Linked DNA regions of Drosophila melanogaster. The protein of the gene in region 2 interacts with the protein of the main gene of each other region in a pairwise test. Each region holds a gene or a part of one and is shown on either strand. Other genes may lie near its edges.

Evidence for each region. The genes of interacting proteins can lie anywhere in the genome.
Region 1: the proteins of CG15152 (region 2) and CG1161 interact in a two-hybrid assay, tested with the Drosophila melanogaster proteins (one large-scale study listed by BioGRID).
Region 3: the proteins of CG15152 (region 2) and CG42661 interact in a two-hybrid assay, tested with the Drosophila melanogaster proteins (one large-scale study listed by BioGRID).

What each region holds. Positions count from the first base shown.
Region 1 is NT_033777.3:5,352,506-5,357,960, reverse strand, and holds CG1161 (uncharacterized protein), read right to left. Parts: upstream 2,870-5,455; 5' UTR 2,777-2,869; coding exon 2,708-2,776; intron 2,635-2,707; coding exon 2,411-2,634; intron 2,128-2,410; coding exon 2,019-2,127; intron 1,959-2,018; coding exon 1,833-1,958; coding exon of another isoform or gene 1,695-1,832; exon of another isoform or gene 1,537-1,694; coding exon 1,381-1,536; 3' UTR 1,213-1,380; downstream 1-1,212. Other genes in the region: Prosbeta7 (proteasome beta7 subunit), read left to right, coding at 1-37, 105-606, 678-830; CG11999 (uncharacterized protein), read left to right, coding at 3,340-3,400, 3,528-4,117.
Region 2 is NT_033779.5:18,111,526-18,116,190, reverse strand, and holds CG15152 (uncharacterized protein), read right to left. Parts: upstream 1,645-4,665; 5' UTR 1,509-1,644; coding exon 1,170-1,508; 3' UTR 971-1,169; downstream 1-970. Other genes in the region: CG44476 (uncharacterized protein), read left to right, coding at 3,056-3,060, 3,121-3,349.
Region 3 is NT_037436.4:7,463,038-7,470,020, reverse strand, and holds CG42661 (uncharacterized protein), read right to left. Parts: upstream 4,513-6,983; 5' UTR 4,470-4,512; coding exon of another isoform or gene 4,407-4,469; intron 4,352-4,406; coding exon of another isoform or gene 4,184-4,351; intron 4,121-4,183; coding exon of another isoform or gene 3,992-4,120; intron 3,935-3,991; coding exon of another isoform or gene 3,866-3,934; 5' UTR 3,842-3,865; intron 3,775-3,841; 5' UTR 3,736-3,774; coding exon 3,673-3,735; intron 3,621-3,672; coding exon 3,453-3,620; intron 3,396-3,452; coding exon 3,270-3,395; intron 3,203-3,269; coding exon 3,134-3,202; 3' UTR 2,946-3,133; intron 2,893-2,945; 3' UTR 2,834-2,892; intron 2,769-2,833; 3' UTR 2,703-2,768; coding exon of another isoform or gene 2,601-2,702; intron 2,544-2,600; coding exon of another isoform or gene 2,358-2,543; 3' UTR 2,298-2,357; coding exon of another isoform or gene 2,163-2,297; intron 2,102-2,162; coding exon of another isoform or gene 1,925-2,101; intron 1,876-1,924; coding exon of another isoform or gene 1,759-1,875; 3' UTR 1,213-1,758; downstream 1-1,212. Other genes in the region: CG8543 (uncharacterized protein), read left to right, coding at 1-445; Tsp66A (tetraspanin 66A), read right to left, coding at 1,759-1,875, 1,925-2,101, 2,163-2,297, 2,358-2,543, 2,601-2,702; CG42660 (uncharacterized protein), read right to left, coding at 3,866-3,934, 3,992-4,120, 4,184-4,351, 4,407-4,469.

The DNA.
Region 1 (5,455 bases), on a different chromosome or scaffold from region 2:
TGACCACAATGGGACCCTATGGAACCAAGCACAGCACGTAGGAACTGCGGATATGTTTATATGCAGATGTACCACTTGTTTACACTCCTTTTACTATTCCGCAGTGCTTCCAGCACCACGGGCACTTCCGTGCTTGGCATTCGCTATGATTCAGGAGTGATGCTGGCCGCCGACACCCTGGTGTCTTACGGATCCATGGCCCGCTACCAAAACATTGAGCGCGTCTTTAAGGTCAACAAGAACATCCTGCTCGGCGGGAGCGGCGACTTCGCTGACATCCAGTCCATCAAGCGCAACATCGACCAGAAGATGATCGAGGACCAGTGCTGCGACGACAACATCGAGATGAAGCCCAAGTCCTTGGCCAGTTGGATGACCCGTGTGCTCTACAACCGTCGTTCGCGGATGAACCCCCTCTACATTGACGTGGTTGTCGGCGGCGTGGACAACGAGGGGACTCCGTACCTGGCCAACGTGGATCTCCGTGGACGATCCTACGAGGACTACGTGGTGGCCACTGGTTTTGCCCGCCATTTGGCCGTTCCGCTGGTCCGTGAGAAGAAGCCCAAGGACAGGGACTTTACCGCCGTAGAAGCTTCCGAACTGGTAAGGAATTTCGAACTCTGATGGGGGGACTCTTCATTATTTAACTACCCTACCATTTTCTTATATTCTAGATCCGCACATGCATGGAGGTGCTTTACTACCGCGATACTCGTAATATTTCCCAATACACTGTGGGCGTGTGCAGCGTCAACGGATGCGGCGTGGAGGGGCCCTTCCAAGTTAACGAAAACTGGACATTCGCCGAAACCATAAAGGGATACTAGAGCCTCCGATTCTGAATGAACTTAGTTTAGGTCTAGCTCGGCGGTTTTGCATTAAAAAAAAACACTTGTCTAAGGATATGTGGTTACATGATTTATTAAAAATAAATGTGGCTGAAAATAATACGTTTAAAGTTATGGTTATTGTGTGATAGAAACTATCTTCGAGTTATTCTTTCGTTAATCTCTACTGATGGAATCAAAAAGTAGGCGTCAAACTAAGAAGCCCAAGGGAGTTTCCAAATCTAACTTGGACTCACCATTACGGTCTTACGTTCCTTATTTTCCCAAATTATAACCATCAATTATCATTAAAAGTTTTATTTTAGTGGATTTGTTGGTTATTCCTCCCGGCATTCAACTTATTAATTAATATGCAAACACTCCTGACAAACATATTTTGGTTTATTTTAATTAACATAAAATCTGGCTAAATATACAGATAATCAATTTGATCCAAAGGGGAATTTCGCAAAGGATAACTGCTTGGAATACGTGTCTTAAGTCGCCCATGCGCCTCCTAATCTCCGCCAGCTGCAAACCGAACCCCTTGTTAGTTTAGCATGGTATGCCTGTCGTAGATGTGGCGTCTCTGCTCGCGCACCTGCCGCTTCCACTTGTCCTGCTGGTGGCCCACACGATTGAGGACATTGGCTCTGGCACTGAGCTCCTGGTTGTTGACGGCTGGCAGGGGCGGCGTTGGTTCATCCTGGTTAGAAAAGGGTGGAAAAATGTGGAATTAGTCGAGGTGATCCAAGATCTGGCCGTGTTAGTTACTGTCTTAATGAAGTGACGGTGTGGGTTAGAAAGTCAACAAAATCTATAACGCAAAATGAAACAAAGGTGGTTGTGGAAATTAAAATCTATTCAAAAGAGTGGTGCTTCTTTATTGCCAACTAGTTGAGCCGCTTCGGCATCAACATCGTCATCTTCATCATCTTCGCCTTGGGCTGTAACTAGGAGGCTATACTGAATGCCCTTGTATCTAGAAAGCTTGTTATGTACATCTTCGTTGGTGTGCTCCTGGTAGTTCGCCTTCACTCGCTTGTTCAGCAACGGGTCCAGGCACATCAGGAAGAGCATGTATATTACTAAAATGGAGATGATCCAAATCACAATAATGACCACGACCTGGATGGGGGAGAGAGCTGGTTAAGTACGGACGGCTTTTGAGCACTCGAATTGACTCACCTTTATCAGCGTCGTATTTCTCGCCACATGGGAGCACTTGCACTCGGCGCATATGGGCAGCTCCTTGCCATTGGCATCCAAACGGGGCAGCAGGGCACCGGCACAGACGCTGAAATGGTAACGTGTAGCAGGTTGTTAAGAACTCCAACCTAACAGAATCACAAATTAAGCTCATTGATACCAAGATGCCTTATACATTTAGTAGCTGAAAAGTGAATACATTTGTGCAATACATGAACTATGATTCTTTGAAGCCTACGCAAACAACGTAAATTGAATTTAAAGTAGTAGAATCCAGTGGGACGAAAGGGATTGCAGCTTTAAAACTGCTCAAATGGACTAGACTTTAAGTTTCCAGATGCGGCAATTTCTGCCAGTGCAGTGCCACTTACCACTCAGTTGTGCTGCTGGAATTGGAAGAATTTTTGCCTGGAGCAGCGAGCACAGGCTGGCCGATGACCTTGGCCGGAGGGGCGGCAGTGGGAGCTGAAACTTGCTTGGCTAGTGGAGCTGCAGCCGCTGGAGCTGCAGGTGCAGGCACAGGAGCAGGTTGAGCATTGCTGTTGTTGTTGCTGTTGGTGCCGATCGCTGGGAATGTCTGCGCCGCAGTCTCAGCCTTTGTTGATTGTTTGAGGGGGAAATGAAAGCGGATTAGTGGGGCAGTCACGGGATGTGGCCAGTCATCATACCCATGTCACGCCAACCAAATAACATATCACCAGTAGCACCGCGTAGACGAACAGGCGCTTGTGTGCCATTAATTTTTCTTTAATTTCAATTTTCCTCAGTTTTCTTGCCTTTTATTGGAGAAAATTCCCTTGCAATTTCGCAGAGTGACCGTACTTGTCTGGTGCACAGAAAATACCAACAAATTGTCGCTCATCGAACTAGTTCCTTTTGGTGCAATTAGTTTTTAGGCTAATTATTAATAACTAATTATTTCCTTCACGATATAACGTTCATTTAATTCTAAAACAATCAAGAAATAAGTTTCTAGGCGTATCAATAAATCTGTGACGTCAAATTCGTAATCTGCTCTCTGAAAAGACTAATTATATTTTTCCTTTATTCAACATTTATTATATACATTAAGCTATTTTCCGTTAATGGAATAAGTTACAGCAATATGGAGTTTGTTATAGTATTATGTTTATTTTTTTCGGTGAGTCCATAATTTGGATTTTACCGCAGCCTGGTCACACCAGCACCGTCAAAAATAGCAATTGTTTGCGTGTGCAACGCTGATTTCAACCGTAATTGCCGGTACAGATTGACTGACTTAGGTCCACGGACTAGGATACGATAACTAGAACAGGACACGATGCAGCACATACTACTTCTTACAGGACTGGCGCTGGTAGGCAGCATTTCCAGGGGAGCCGGTAAGTGGCGACCTGAAACAAAGTCGCGTCTATGTGGTCTTCTCTGATTGGCCGCCCCTCTTTCTGAACCTTCCGTGGCCATAGTTAATGCTTATCTTATATTCTATCTTGACCCTGCTGAACACAGCCACCGAATCCAACGTGGTCACCTGCGGCTCCATCCTGAAGCTGCTCAACTCGGACTACGCCTTCCGCCTGCACTCCCACGACGTCAAGTACGGATCTGGTTCCGGGCAGCAGTCGGTGACGGGCGTGGAGCAGAAGGAGGACGTGAACAGCCACTGGGTGATCAAGGCGCAGACCGGCGAGCTTTGTGAAAGGGGCGAGCCCATCGCCTGCGGATCCACCGTGCGACTGGAGCACCTGTCCACCAAGAAGAACCTGCACTCGCACCACTTTTCGTCGCCGCTCTCAGGCGAGCAGGAGGTGTCCGCGTACGGAACGGATGGACTCGGCGACACCGGCGACCACTGGGAGGTGGTCTGCTCCAACGAGAACTGGATGCGCAGTGCCCACGTTAGGCTGCGCCACATCGACACCGGCATGTACCTGGGCATGTCCGGCCGCTCCTATGGCAGACCCATCTCCGGCCAAATGGAAATCGTTGGCGTCCACAAGCCGCAGCACGGAACGCGCTGGACCACGGCGGAGGGCCTCTTTATCGTGCCCAAGGAGAAGAGCTCAACGCACGACGAGTACGCCCACTCGGAGCTGTAGTGCTCCCTAAGGACCTCGACTGCTGCAGTTTCATACTACTATTAGTTCTGTAATTTATAACTTAGTTGAATTTTTATTGAAGACCCCAAAAGCAAACCATCAAATTAAAATTATTTAAACTCAGGGTACTTCGAAACTTTCAGATTGCTTTCATCGAAAGTTATGTATTCTATGTATGTATTATGTATTCTATCTAGAAAGTGCCTTGCATAAAGGCAGTCGTAAGAACCACTTAGCTTAAATGCATTGCAACAAATGGGGGCGTCTATAGAGCCCTTTTTAAGGTAGTGAAACCTCAGTTGCAATCTAACTTTTCTAAATTTTTCTAGAACTTTGATTGATTGTCTACTTAGTCAGTTGCAGGCACACAAATGCTTTTTTATTTTTATGTAACCTTTTATATTTTAAACGGGTATTTTGAGGCAATAGTACTCTTTCTGTTGGCATTACTGCAGTTAATACAGATGTATCTATTCCATGTAGTGCTGAAAGACATGCGTAGGTTACCAGGTGCTAATAGCGTGTTCGTGTCACTTTTCTACTACTCATTGATGATTAAGACTGATTGCATTTGGCGGAAAATGTCGATATCTTTGAACTCCAACAGAAGGTATCCCATGCCGGATTGACAGCCCTTTAGCTTGAAGCTAAAGCGGGAAGTATCCTTGCAGATGCAGCCGTAGGGCGTCACTCGCATTTCGCGAAAGGTGCTCCCCATTCCTTCGGATGTTTTTGTTTGCATGCATAAAACAATGGGGCTTATTCCGACCATACAAGCTATGTATATACATTTTGCCATTGCTCGCGGTTTCCGCTCCCTTGCTGCCCCGATATCGTCACGTCCATTATCTGCTCGTCTGTTTTGTGTTTCTTTTGTTTGGGCCATTGTCAACGCTTTGTCTGCTCATCCTCCGGGCCATGTCCTCATCCTCCGCTGCCTCCGCCTCCTTCGCATCCCCGTAATCCCAACTGATTGTGGACCCAGTAAGGTCAAAGTGTTAGCTGATCTAACCCAGCGCACAGTCGTTTATAGATTCTCATAATCGGGTTGTCCTTGTAACCATTTTGCACAAATAAGAAATGGAAACAAGGATACTCGTTCTACTAGTCTGATGAGCGATGTTGTCCCCAGCAGGAAATCTTAGCAAGATCCACCATCTGAAGATAACCCTCAACTCCGTAATTTCATGCTTTACGATGCAAATACTGGAAGTATCAAGCTTTGAATCTTGTGTCAACTATTCCTGATTGGAAATTCTGTACAGCAATTATTATAGACTTTCAATAAATTGTCATAAATAGTATATGGAATATGGATAGCACATAGCTGTCCACGAT
Region 2 (4,665 bases):
TAAATGCGCTGGCGACTTCTGCACTCCGTCTGAAAAGTGCACCCTGCAAATAATTAGCACGGCTCGGAATCCTGTGAGTAATTAAGGTAAGTCAGCTGTTGCCTCCGTCTCGAGTGGGGCCAAAAAACGGAAAGAGCAAAAAGTGTCGTCCATTGTCAACGGAAATTAAAGTTTAATGGGACAACGTTTTTTTTTTTTAGAATTTCCAAGTGAGAAATAAGCTTGTCCGGCTGTTTTTACGCTGACCAAATGTTCGTAACATTTCAAGCTATTAAACTAGAATTTTACCAACTTGATGGCACACACAAGTGAGAAAACTGTTGTAAAAACATGGAAAATTCTGAGGGAGTCGGAGTTTTTCCAGCAGTGGCATGTGAAAAGCAATTACAGAAGTGATTTAGAAAAATGCAAATGTGAAAATATTTAGAGAACTATTTCCATTGGGAACTGGCATAGTTGAAAATTCGTTGTATTTTTTCTTTTTCAAGTGAGAGTGGAAATAATTTTAATAATTTTGTGTGCCAAACACCGGCGCAGATGCGGTTTGTGACACTTCCTTTAATAAACAACAGCGTTAAATAATTGAATTTCCACTCTCCATCGCTAAGCCGCTATTAATGAATTTTTAATTAGCGTGCTTAATTTAATTAGTTAATTGATAAGGGAATCTTTTTTATGTACTTTGCTTTGTTAATCTCTGTGATGTATGGAGCTTTAATGTGTCACTACAACATTTGTCCTTTATACATCGACAAACAAAATGCGTATTTATTTTGCAGTTAAATGGCTTGAATTCGTGATTCTTTCGTTCACTTTTGTTTGCTTATCTCACACAAAGCCCTTTATCTGGCCACCTTGTTTCGCTCTCTAGATTACGTTCATTTATGGGCCGTAAATAATTAGTTAATTGAACCGGAATTATCGGAAAACGTTAAAAGCACTGTCTAGTCAAAAATAAAACACATGGATTATGGGATTTCTTTCTTTACTTTGAACTTATATTAAATCATGATTTTTTGTTCTTAGCGCCTAATCAGTAAAGCCGCTTCCTTTTTAGTTAAGCTTTGCATTTGCTAGCAGAACACAGTTCGATTGCCACTGTTTGAAAACAGAACGTAGCTCGTAAGTGCGATAACGCTCTAAATTAGTCACGACACGTACATATTATTTCACCGCACTTTTATAGACTGCACCTCCAGCCAAATCATCACAGCGGCTATAGCCACATATATAGCCACGATCATGAAGATCTGCAGGGGACTGGCGGTGAAAACTTGGACCACCAGCATCACGGTTCCCAGAATAAACACCCCGGACAGGAAGCTGACCATCAGTATGGTGGACCAGTTGCGAAACCAGGCGTGCTTTTTATCCGGCGGCGGTACAAAAATCGGTTTCAGCGGGCTGTACTCCTTCTTATACTGAGTCTCGTATCCGCTGGTAAAGTCAACCTCATCGTGGTACGTCCCCGGACCCGAGGTTCCAGCCTTAGTCTCATCCGTGTCCATTTCAAAACGCGTTCTGCTCTCGACTAAAGAGCGATTCGCTGGTCTCCGGGCATTTTCAGCGGTTTTTTCCTTCCCTCTTTTTCATGATTACCAATCAGTTTGGGGTCTGGGTTATTATCGCCACGGCAGAAGGTGGTAATTGAGGCAACAACAAGGCAAACAGTGAACCGTCAAGAGCTGACAATCTTCTTTTTGTTGCTTGTGACTCAGATAAGATAACTATATAAGTCTGAGAAAACCCGTCAAACGAGAGCGGAGAAGAGTCTCAAAATGACAAGAAAATCACATTGAAGTAAGAGATTGCGAAGAGAGATCAATTTGTTCTACGTTATCAATTTATGCTTACTTACGAATCATCAAACCCTATCAACTTTGATAACAATCTATTAAAAGCGATAAATGTTTTACATTCATATATTAGGCATTTCAGTACTTATATACTTCTGGCACTCTGTTTCCGTCTTGAGAGATTCTCTTTTTTGTCAGTTTCCCCGCTTTCAGCTATCTGAAGCTCCTTCTTCAGTTCCGTCGCCGGCTTTAAAGGCTCCTTCTTGCCTTGCCTAACCAAGCGACATTGAGGGCTTTCTTCGCCGTGTTTCGTTCTTTTCGACAAACAGCAGTGCTTTGCGGATCATTTAGCTTGAACAACCCACAATGCCACCAATTTCAGCGTATTTTTTACCTTTAGAGATCATGTTTTTAATCAAATTTCTTTTTTCGACGGTAAAATGCTTGCCGCGACCCATGACTAGAGAACTTTTGGTCTTCGTTTGGAAAAAATTCAATTAAAACCTTTAATACAACTCCTTTTTCAAAATTTGTCGAAAAAAACCCAAAGCAATCACTCTATTATTCAGCAAATACGTGGTCAGTGCTATTTTTGTTACCGCCTCATTTCGCGCACTTTTGCAGCAAGTGCCCAAAAACAAAAAGAACCTTTACATTGAGAGACCATAAATTTCTTGCTCAGAGAGCCAACATATGGTACTTATTATTCATGCAATCTGACTTTAAAAAATATAAACATTTAATAATTATTTTTAGGAAATGAACTTTCCACCTCCAGTAGTGCTATTATTTTAACCGCAGCTGTATATATTTCCGTCTTGAGAGGTTCTCTTTAATGTTGTCTCTTAGTTTCAGTCAAATTCTCTGAAAGCTTTGGTTTTTACTTACAAATACCCTTTCTAGGGTTCTTATGGTGAGTTTACTCCTCTCAGAAATTTTCTTAAATAATTATTTTATTAGTTCATATTTTTTCTTACACTAATTTTAGTTATTTATCTAATGAATGTACTTGTGATCTCAGACTTACTTTACAGATACCTCTTATATAGTTTTACTTAGGACGGTAGTCCCTTAAAAATTTGTCAATATATTATCATTTTTAATGGTGCAAGCTGCATACGATCCGAAAGATTTTAGTACAGTGTGCCTCCGTTCTTGAATTCGATTCCCTTGAATATTTTTTCATGTTTGCAGATGAGTGCCTTCATCCAGTTTATACAGAGCCTTCAAGCTGAAAAGATCAGAGTGCCTCCAAAAAAATGGGGTATAATACTTATTTGAAAGTATTTCAAAAGCATTAAAGTGATAATTTGTTTATTTAAAGTGAAGAAAAAGATGTCTTATTGGATAGAGATAGTTGCACCCTCAACGGAGTGGACCAAGAACAAACCGATGCGATTCATAACGACTCTAATATGGAAATATTAACTGAGGAAGACTCAAGGCCATATACTTTTTTGCAAAACTTTAATTTCGTTGGCTTATGTGTTCTTTATAATTTTTGCATGCTTTTAATTGTTCTGTCCATATACATCTACAAACGATGGAATTAAAAAAGGGATTTTAAAATGATTTTGAGTACGTATCAAGCGCTAGTTAATTTGATTGCATTATGTATCCTGCTTAGCTGGGCTAACTTGTTTGCATTAGAAGAAAATGAAAGCTGCCTTCTGTCCTAAATGTACTTAAACTTCAGTCCACTTTATTGCCACCAAACAATTTAAGTTGTTGACAAAGTCATCAGCATGCATCAGTCAGCGGTTTTTAAAGAAAGTGCAGAGTCGGCGGAAAAAAATATGAGAAAACTCGCAGTTGCCTCTGTGGCATTTTTAGTTCCTTCAGCGCATCAACAAAACTTGTACATCTTGCTCGATGATCTACTCCGGATCTTGTTTACCGATTGTGCAACAATGTGTTCACTTTTAAATAATATCGAAAATCAGACTGTCTACTGTTTGTGTTTTTTTAATGGGAGATTGTTACTTTTATTTTTCGAAAGGTACACTAAATTCACTTTATCATTTCGATGCATTCGAATTAGGCAATTACTTACCCAGTGTGAACTTTTCATATCAACCCGGCTTATAGATAACCCCCTCGAGTTTGGCCCAGTTCTTCGCACCTTGGCCAGGGCTCATTATTCAAAGCTAAGACTCAGATTAAATGGAAAGCGATAGAATGACTGGCGGAGTGAAAAATGCTAAGAAAGAATCAAAAATTCATGAGGCGGTGCGCGCGAATTATAGCGACTTACTTGATGGTTTAAAGGCGCCCTTGCCGCGGCTATTCAGCTTTTTAGCTTGCCTGTTTTGCCCGCCAACATGCGTTTGTTGTTGCAAACTTTTTCCATCAAAAGTTTCGGTTTTCGATACGCCTGCTGCTGGCAGCTACCGATCCCCATTACCCATTCCTTATTCCCCGCTCCCATTTTCCATCCCCCCATCCATTCTGAAATTCCGCTCCAGCTTCAACTGGGAAAAGTGCCACTTCCGCTTTGCGTCAGTGCACACGGCTGCCGAGCACAAAAGTGTGACTGAAGTGGCTGAAACCAGCTCGATTTTCCCAGCCCATTTCCCGCCCACTTTGGTGGCGGCTGCCGAGGCTCAGGTGTTAATTAACTTGGGGGCCGGCACTAAATTTTAAAACTGCAACTTGCCCAAAATTAATGAGACTGACGTTTGTGCGAGTTACGAGCGAGCTGGAATTATAATTTCGGCATGGCGGACAAACTGCAGAGCAGGCTAACTTTCAAGTGGTCGGCAAGGATGCCCGGAGATCATGAATATTCATCAGGACGAGACGCAGCGTCCAATGTTAAGCCGTAAGCTATTGGTTGTTTCTGTCTGTTATACACGTGCTTAATAACATC
Region 3 (6,983 bases), on a different chromosome or scaffold from region 2:
GTACTCCAGTGTCAGCAAGGTGGACTCCCGCATCACCAACAATGTCTACACTCCCAAGACCCTGTACTCCGCACCTGCTCCAGTGATCACCAAGTCCTTCTACGCTGCTGCTCCTGCTCCCGTCGTGGCTAAGACCGTGTACTCTGCTCCCGTCGCCAAGGCTGTCTATGCCGCTCCAGCTCCAGTCTACGCCGCTCCAGCTCCAGTCGTGGCCAAGACCGTGTACTCTGCTCCCGTCGCCAAGGCTGTCTATGCCGCCCCAGCTCCAGTCTACTCCGCTCCAGCTCCAGTCGTGGCCAAGACCGTGTACTCCGCTCCTGCTCCAGTTTACCACGCTCCTGCTCCTCTGGTGGCTGCTGCTCCCGCCGCCTATGTGAAGTACTCGCCCGCCGCCGTGGTTGCCCACGCCAGCTTCGATGGATTCGGATCCCACTGGGGATACTAGGTCAGGTCATCCCAACCTTTGTTGACACTTTGTTGAATTGTCTGTACGAAATAAAATCCGTTTATAACTGAATCAAGCACGAATTATTATTTCCTGCAATTGCAAAGGTAAAAAGGTTGTTCAAGTAAGCAAAGAATTAAAGTTTAAACATTGTAAAAGGGGTCAGTCATAAATCTAATTTTATGATCATATATTCTGAAGAACTTCCCATATAAAACGATTTAATAACATCAATTTAAAGAAACACTTTCACCCTTTTTGTTTTAGCTCTTAACATATAATTTTTCTAGCGTTTAATGGGGCGTATGTGTGCTAAGAATTGTTGCAACCATTTTAAATCCCCGGAAACCATGGCCACTCACCTCAAAAACCCTTTTCATTCTGTTTTCCTAGTTTTTTTTTTTGCGAGGGCGCAAATATTTAGTGCAAAACTTTCTGTTTGTCTTTGCCGGTTGGGGGGTGCAACAAAAAATTGTTGGCCAAAGTTTAATGAGCCACATGACCCTTTTCGCCTGCGACTTCGTCTTTGTATCCCTTCCCTTTATCTATGAACTTTGCACTGGATATTTCAGCAGCTTGACCAAAGTGTGGTTGCTTTTGCTGCCGTTATTGTTATGGCGGCTAAAAAGTTTACCCAACACCCAAATACAACGCATAAAAAAGGCATTAACGATGTGGGCCGGAGCAAACTATTTAGCCATAAAGTTGGTCGTTCCGGCGGACAATTTCGTATGCATATTTTATGGATTTTCAAATGCTGCAAAATTGTTTTTCACGACTAGAATTTAATGTTGACAACAATAAAATTTATGCGCGGGACGAGGGACACAAAATGAATATATAAACTTGAGCGTTTGTTGAAGGGGGTGGGGCTGGATCGTCCTTGAATATTTTCTGCTTAGCTGCATTTGCATATTGTCCGGATTGGAGTCCAATTCCGTGTCCGAATCCCCAGCTATCCGGGGTATTTGCAATACTTTTTCAATCGCCCGACATGCTTTGTTGATTTCTTTATTGGCTCATCCATATGCATGCCGTTGTTGGACAGGATTCTGGACATTGGATTTGCGACTCAAGTGTTTATCGTTATTGATTGCAGTCCGTGAAATATGACGATAGCCGGCAGCATCCAATTTGTCTCGCCCGCCAGAATGCCAATACTCATGCCCGGTACAATGTGAATTGAAAACCGCACCCAAAATTGCAATTCACATGAAAATCTGCTGCTTAAGTTCCATGCAATGTTGGAAAATAGCCCTAAAGTTCAGAGATGTTCTTTAGGATTGCTTCCCAAATCCGAATAGAACTGCAAGTCACTTTTTTACACTACCAAACCTTTCGGTGACCCGCTCAGACCACATACTTGTGGGTTGGGATTTGCTCCTTAACAGGATAATAAGGAATACCTCAATGCATATGACTAAAACATACTAAAATGGTTTTTAGCGTTAGAATTCGAAACACCCGACCACTACTCACCTGAATTACGAAGGAGATCACATGGATGATGGGCGACGCGGGCTTTATGGAGCGCGTGGAGCAGCCTGATCGGTACAGGTCCTCATCCCTTTCACTGCCATTCTTGTAACAGGATTTTGGGATATTCAGATCGCCCAACTTGTAGTCGTCAGGTCCCAAAACTCCGCAGCACTGGCACTTTTAATAAACGAAGTGGGTAACTTTACTACTTAATATAATATTATTGCGAAACTCTTACGCGACTTTCGTAGAATTCCAAACTCTTGCGATTCATCCATATTCGAAGTACATCTCCAACAATTTGGTACTGTTGTGCAAACAGTATAGTCAGCATCATCTGCAACCATGTTGCCAGGAAGAGTACTGTGGCATACTGTAAAATTTAAATACAATCTTGGCAATCGCTGTGTTTTTAAAAATAATGTTTACAAACAATTACAATGCGTATTTCGCGGCATAAATGCGAATATATGAAGAAAAAACCGACTATCAGCAGCGGCGCCATTAGGGCATTTACGGTTAGAGCGATTATCATGTAGGACCTGAACAAACAATCCCAGCAAGGCATGTGTTCCTTCAGTATGAAATAGTATATGTAAATATCCGCACAGCTGAAAATCTGTGGGTGGGAACACCTTTGTAGTGGTTTTTTCTTCGCTTCCATGATATTACCTACGAAATTGACCAACCACACAAAGTAGATTATGAACTTGCAAATCTGTAGCTTTCCAACGCTGAGTAATCTTTGAAGGCATCCCGTTTCCTCATTATCCACCATATTTTATCCGAAAAATACGAATATATATATTTTTGACCTAAAATGACACTGCTTTCGATGGTATAACTGCTTTAAAAAAAAAAAACAGAATTTTTTCGGTTGACAATTAGCGATACTATGTTTTTCAATACCAATACGATGTCCATTATAATTTGCAAATTCAGCTAGCTTTTGGTATTAACTCCAATTGCTTACAAAAGACAAGATGTTAAGTTCTAAAATCCCAAGTTGACAGATACTTACAATTCATTAATGAAGTTTCCAGTGAGTTTCCGTTTTTGCTCTAATGCAGTTGGTTATTCGACATAGTTAATATCTTAACATTAATCACTGAAAATCACAATGACGGATCTAATGAGGAGGTAATACGATATTTTGCGTTTATGCCAGATAGTATTCATAGTATTCATAGTATTCATTTCAATACCAGTCTAATTGTCTTCGTTGGCAAGGTCATGTAGCCGAAGCCAGTATATTATTATAACGGCCATACATAAGAACTATTCAGTTGTCGGAAAAACTTGGTTAATACATAGTTATATAATTTGAATGTCTGTATAACCTTACCGTAAGGAGCCAGCATATCATAAATATGGGATGGGCTGTCGTCTTGTCAGGATTCAATTCAGTACTTAGACACACGAACAGAATTATCAGTTTCACCACGACGATGGCTACATAAACAAAGATCATCTGAAAATTACATCAAAAATTTAACTCAATGATTTTTAAAACCTCATGCTAACGAACCACTTTCAGAATTCGAATTTTATTACAGATCGCCGCATATATTAAAAGAACCAGAGTCGCCAGTATAACTACGGACAGGGATAGGCTTATAATAAGCATAATATAATGGTATCCCTTTAATAAATTCAATATAGAAACATCTTTGGCTATTTGAGCACCATTAATTCCCTGCCAATTGAATATTGAATTGGTTAATCAATCAAATGAGCATCCAACTTACTGCGGTTATAGGTATTACTAACAAAAGTACAATTTTGAGACCAAGTGTCGGACAAAAGCACATTCTGTCAAGATAGAATTTGAAAATATTTCGTTCGAAGAACTAAAACAAATGTGTGGAAAAAAGTTTAGAATTTTCTGAAAAGTTTACAAGTTTTACAAATCCTTACCACAATCAATACTCTTTATAAGAATTAGTCAGCTTGTCTTGAATTCTCTGTTAGCCGTATATAAAAGAATAGATTAAAGAGCATACAGCAACACTATTTTGAATTAATTAAGATTATTTTATCACCAATCCAATTAAATGAAATACGCACCGTGAATTTCCAGCATAGAAAGAACCAAAAATGTGCGGCAGTATTTTCAATACCTGTTTCTGCGGTTAATACGCAAACGATTACGATAATACCCTTTGCTACACACTTAAAAATCAAGAAAACAAGCGTCTGAAAAAGTTGTACAATATTTTGAATACAATAATTATTTTTGAATAATTCAAAGCTACGCACCACGTTTAAAGCCAATATATGATGACGAATAGCAGCAAAAATGGCAACTAAGAGAACAACTAGTATGATAACACATAGTGCTAGACTTATAGTAAGCATAACATGATGGTGACCCACCAGTTTATCCAGCAAAGTAATGTCCTTCGCTATTTGCGCGCCATTAAATCCCTTAAAAAAATGCGTCAACAGTAATTTGACATGAACGGGTGTCTATTCAACTCACTGCGGCAAGATGTATGAATGCCAAAAGAACGATTTTGAGTACACGAGTTGAGCAAATGCACATTATAGCTCAGATGAAAATAAAAAATTTAACATTTAGATTTTTGCAAATGGTAATCCAATTGACATTGTTCTCAAGTGTTAAATAAACAAATAAATTGGGTTATTTTCATAAATTTATACTTCTTTGCTTCATTCAACGTTCGAAGAGCTTGAAAAAGGACTTTAAGAAATCTGTGGAATTTGCATAGATTTATTCAGCATCGCAGCTTTTGACCGCGTTTGGTAATGGAAAACGGCTTGGGGGCGTGGAAAACTAGAACTAAAACCCGTACACATCCCTGCATGTTGAGCTGCTGTGGAATTTTTTAATCAAACAGTTGCCATTAATTACTGCAAAATTCTCTAGCCACATGACAGACATTTTTTCGACAGCCAGCCGCGCTGGAATGAATGAAAGAAAACAGGATGCGCTGCCGAGTCCTTCTTCGTGTGGGCGCCTGTATTTGTGAGCTAGAATCTGCGAGATGGCTTCAAATGCCATATGGGTGGGGCAGCTGCTGCTGCTGGGTATGGAATGCCAAGCGAACCGACCGCAGACTCGCCACCAAAAGGAGCAGCAACTAAAAATCAAATTAGGTGCAAACGAGCGCCTGTCGGCGGCAGGCGTTCATTTACTTGGCTCAAAAAAAAAAAAAAATGTGGGCGTGTCGCGGTTGCGTTTTCGTAATGAATAATTTATAATGCAAACGGGCGATGGATTTTATTTTCTTGTAAGCTCTTAGTTGAGATTAAAATTTTGCGGTTTGCCGAAAACCGGTGGAGTTAAAGTTCATGCTCCGCATGATTCGCCTGAATCGGCTGATAAATGTGCGTGGGCTGGTGTCATGTGCACGCTCGTGAATTCAATTTGATACACAAACTGATTTATCGACTCCAAAGCAGTGGCAGTAGCAGGAAATTCAAGGCACTTAAAAAATATACATGTAGTTCAAGTGTACTGCAATGTTTGTTCTCAGGTTAGGGGTACCTAAACAGTTTTTTGAATGAATCTTTAAAGTATCCTTCACATTACTAAATCATACTAAAATCATATAAATCTAATTGTATCATTTCTAGCGATACAAAAATAAGTTATTTTTTGTTGAACTATATATTATTATTTTTAAGCCCATACAATTTCTTCCAGTGCTTTGTCTCGACTCAACTTGGCACACGCCATTCATAAGTCAGTCGTCGTCAGTGGGAGAGTGGAGTCGAAAGTCGCAGACGATAAAAAATTACATACACTTGTAACTGGTGTCCTCGGGCCGGAGTCCTTGCCGTTACCACTGCTCCGGAGTTATGTCCTGGCCCCGCCTTTGCCTGTGCTGCAGCCTCTAACAAGGTTAATTTGTTGCGATCGCAGTTCTGTGTCATTTATCTTCGCTGTCAGCGGCAACTTCTCGCATAGAGCGCAGCTCCTGGCATCGTTCTAATTTGAATTTAACAAGCTCACTGGAGGAAAGGATGTGGACAGGGGTCCATCAGAGCATCAGTCTCTAGGGGAGCATTGAAAATTAAAAATTTATTGCCGGGCGTGGTGTCAATCATCGCTGGCATCATTCTCAGTTCAGCTGAGAACGTAATAAAGTATTGGAATAAAAATCACTGGGGATTTGTGCTACTCTATCAAAAGTGAAAATTCATATTTTTAATATAATTTTATGTTAACATTCTTCCAAAAATAGGTTAAGACAAGAGTACTTATAAATATTAAATGCATAAATAATATTTTGAGGCCCTGAAGCCCAAGTCAGGATGCATAAAAAATCTCGCATCCAGCATCCTGCCACACAGTTGCAGGCACACACACACTACATCATCATCAATTTGTGCCTGTGAGCTTCTAGAGCACCCTCATCCATCCTGTTTCCTTTCCACGCCCCTCTGTCCACATGCATCCTTTCAGGACTCCGCACTATCCATTGAACGTTTCAATTTCACTTGTTGGCTTCGATTGTCGCCTGTAGTTCCGAGTTTGGGGTAACAATTGAAAGCGACACTTTTATGGTTTTCAGATTTGTGTGATGTTTCCTCTTTCACCCAATTTTACCACACTCTATTCGGTATGTTTTTTTATTGTCCATCGTAGCACTTTTCCCCTCACTCTGTTACGTGCTTTATTACACGGATGCTGTGTTTTTCAGCTACTATTCTAATTGATAAATTCTTTGGAACGAGTGCCTTCAAGGGGTTTTTCACACTTACTTCCAAAGCATTGCCCAATATTATTTTTATGCCAGCCAAGGTCTTGAGCTCTTATTTCTGCAAATAAAATTTAGTTGCATATTTTGCGGCGCCAAATGGCAGCCACAAAAATGAATGAAATCGTAAAATTCAGACCCTGCTGGACCGCATCCACGCCCAGTGAGCTAATAACGTATACTCGAAAACCGGAAACGCCGCAGACCAATCCAATGCCACACAAAAGCTGACCCGCAGTTTAAACCCCTTTTTGACCCTCGACCCTAAAGATATTTCTTACTTTTTATGCAGAGAGAAAAATATATATTTTAAAGCATGCTCTCAGCCACCT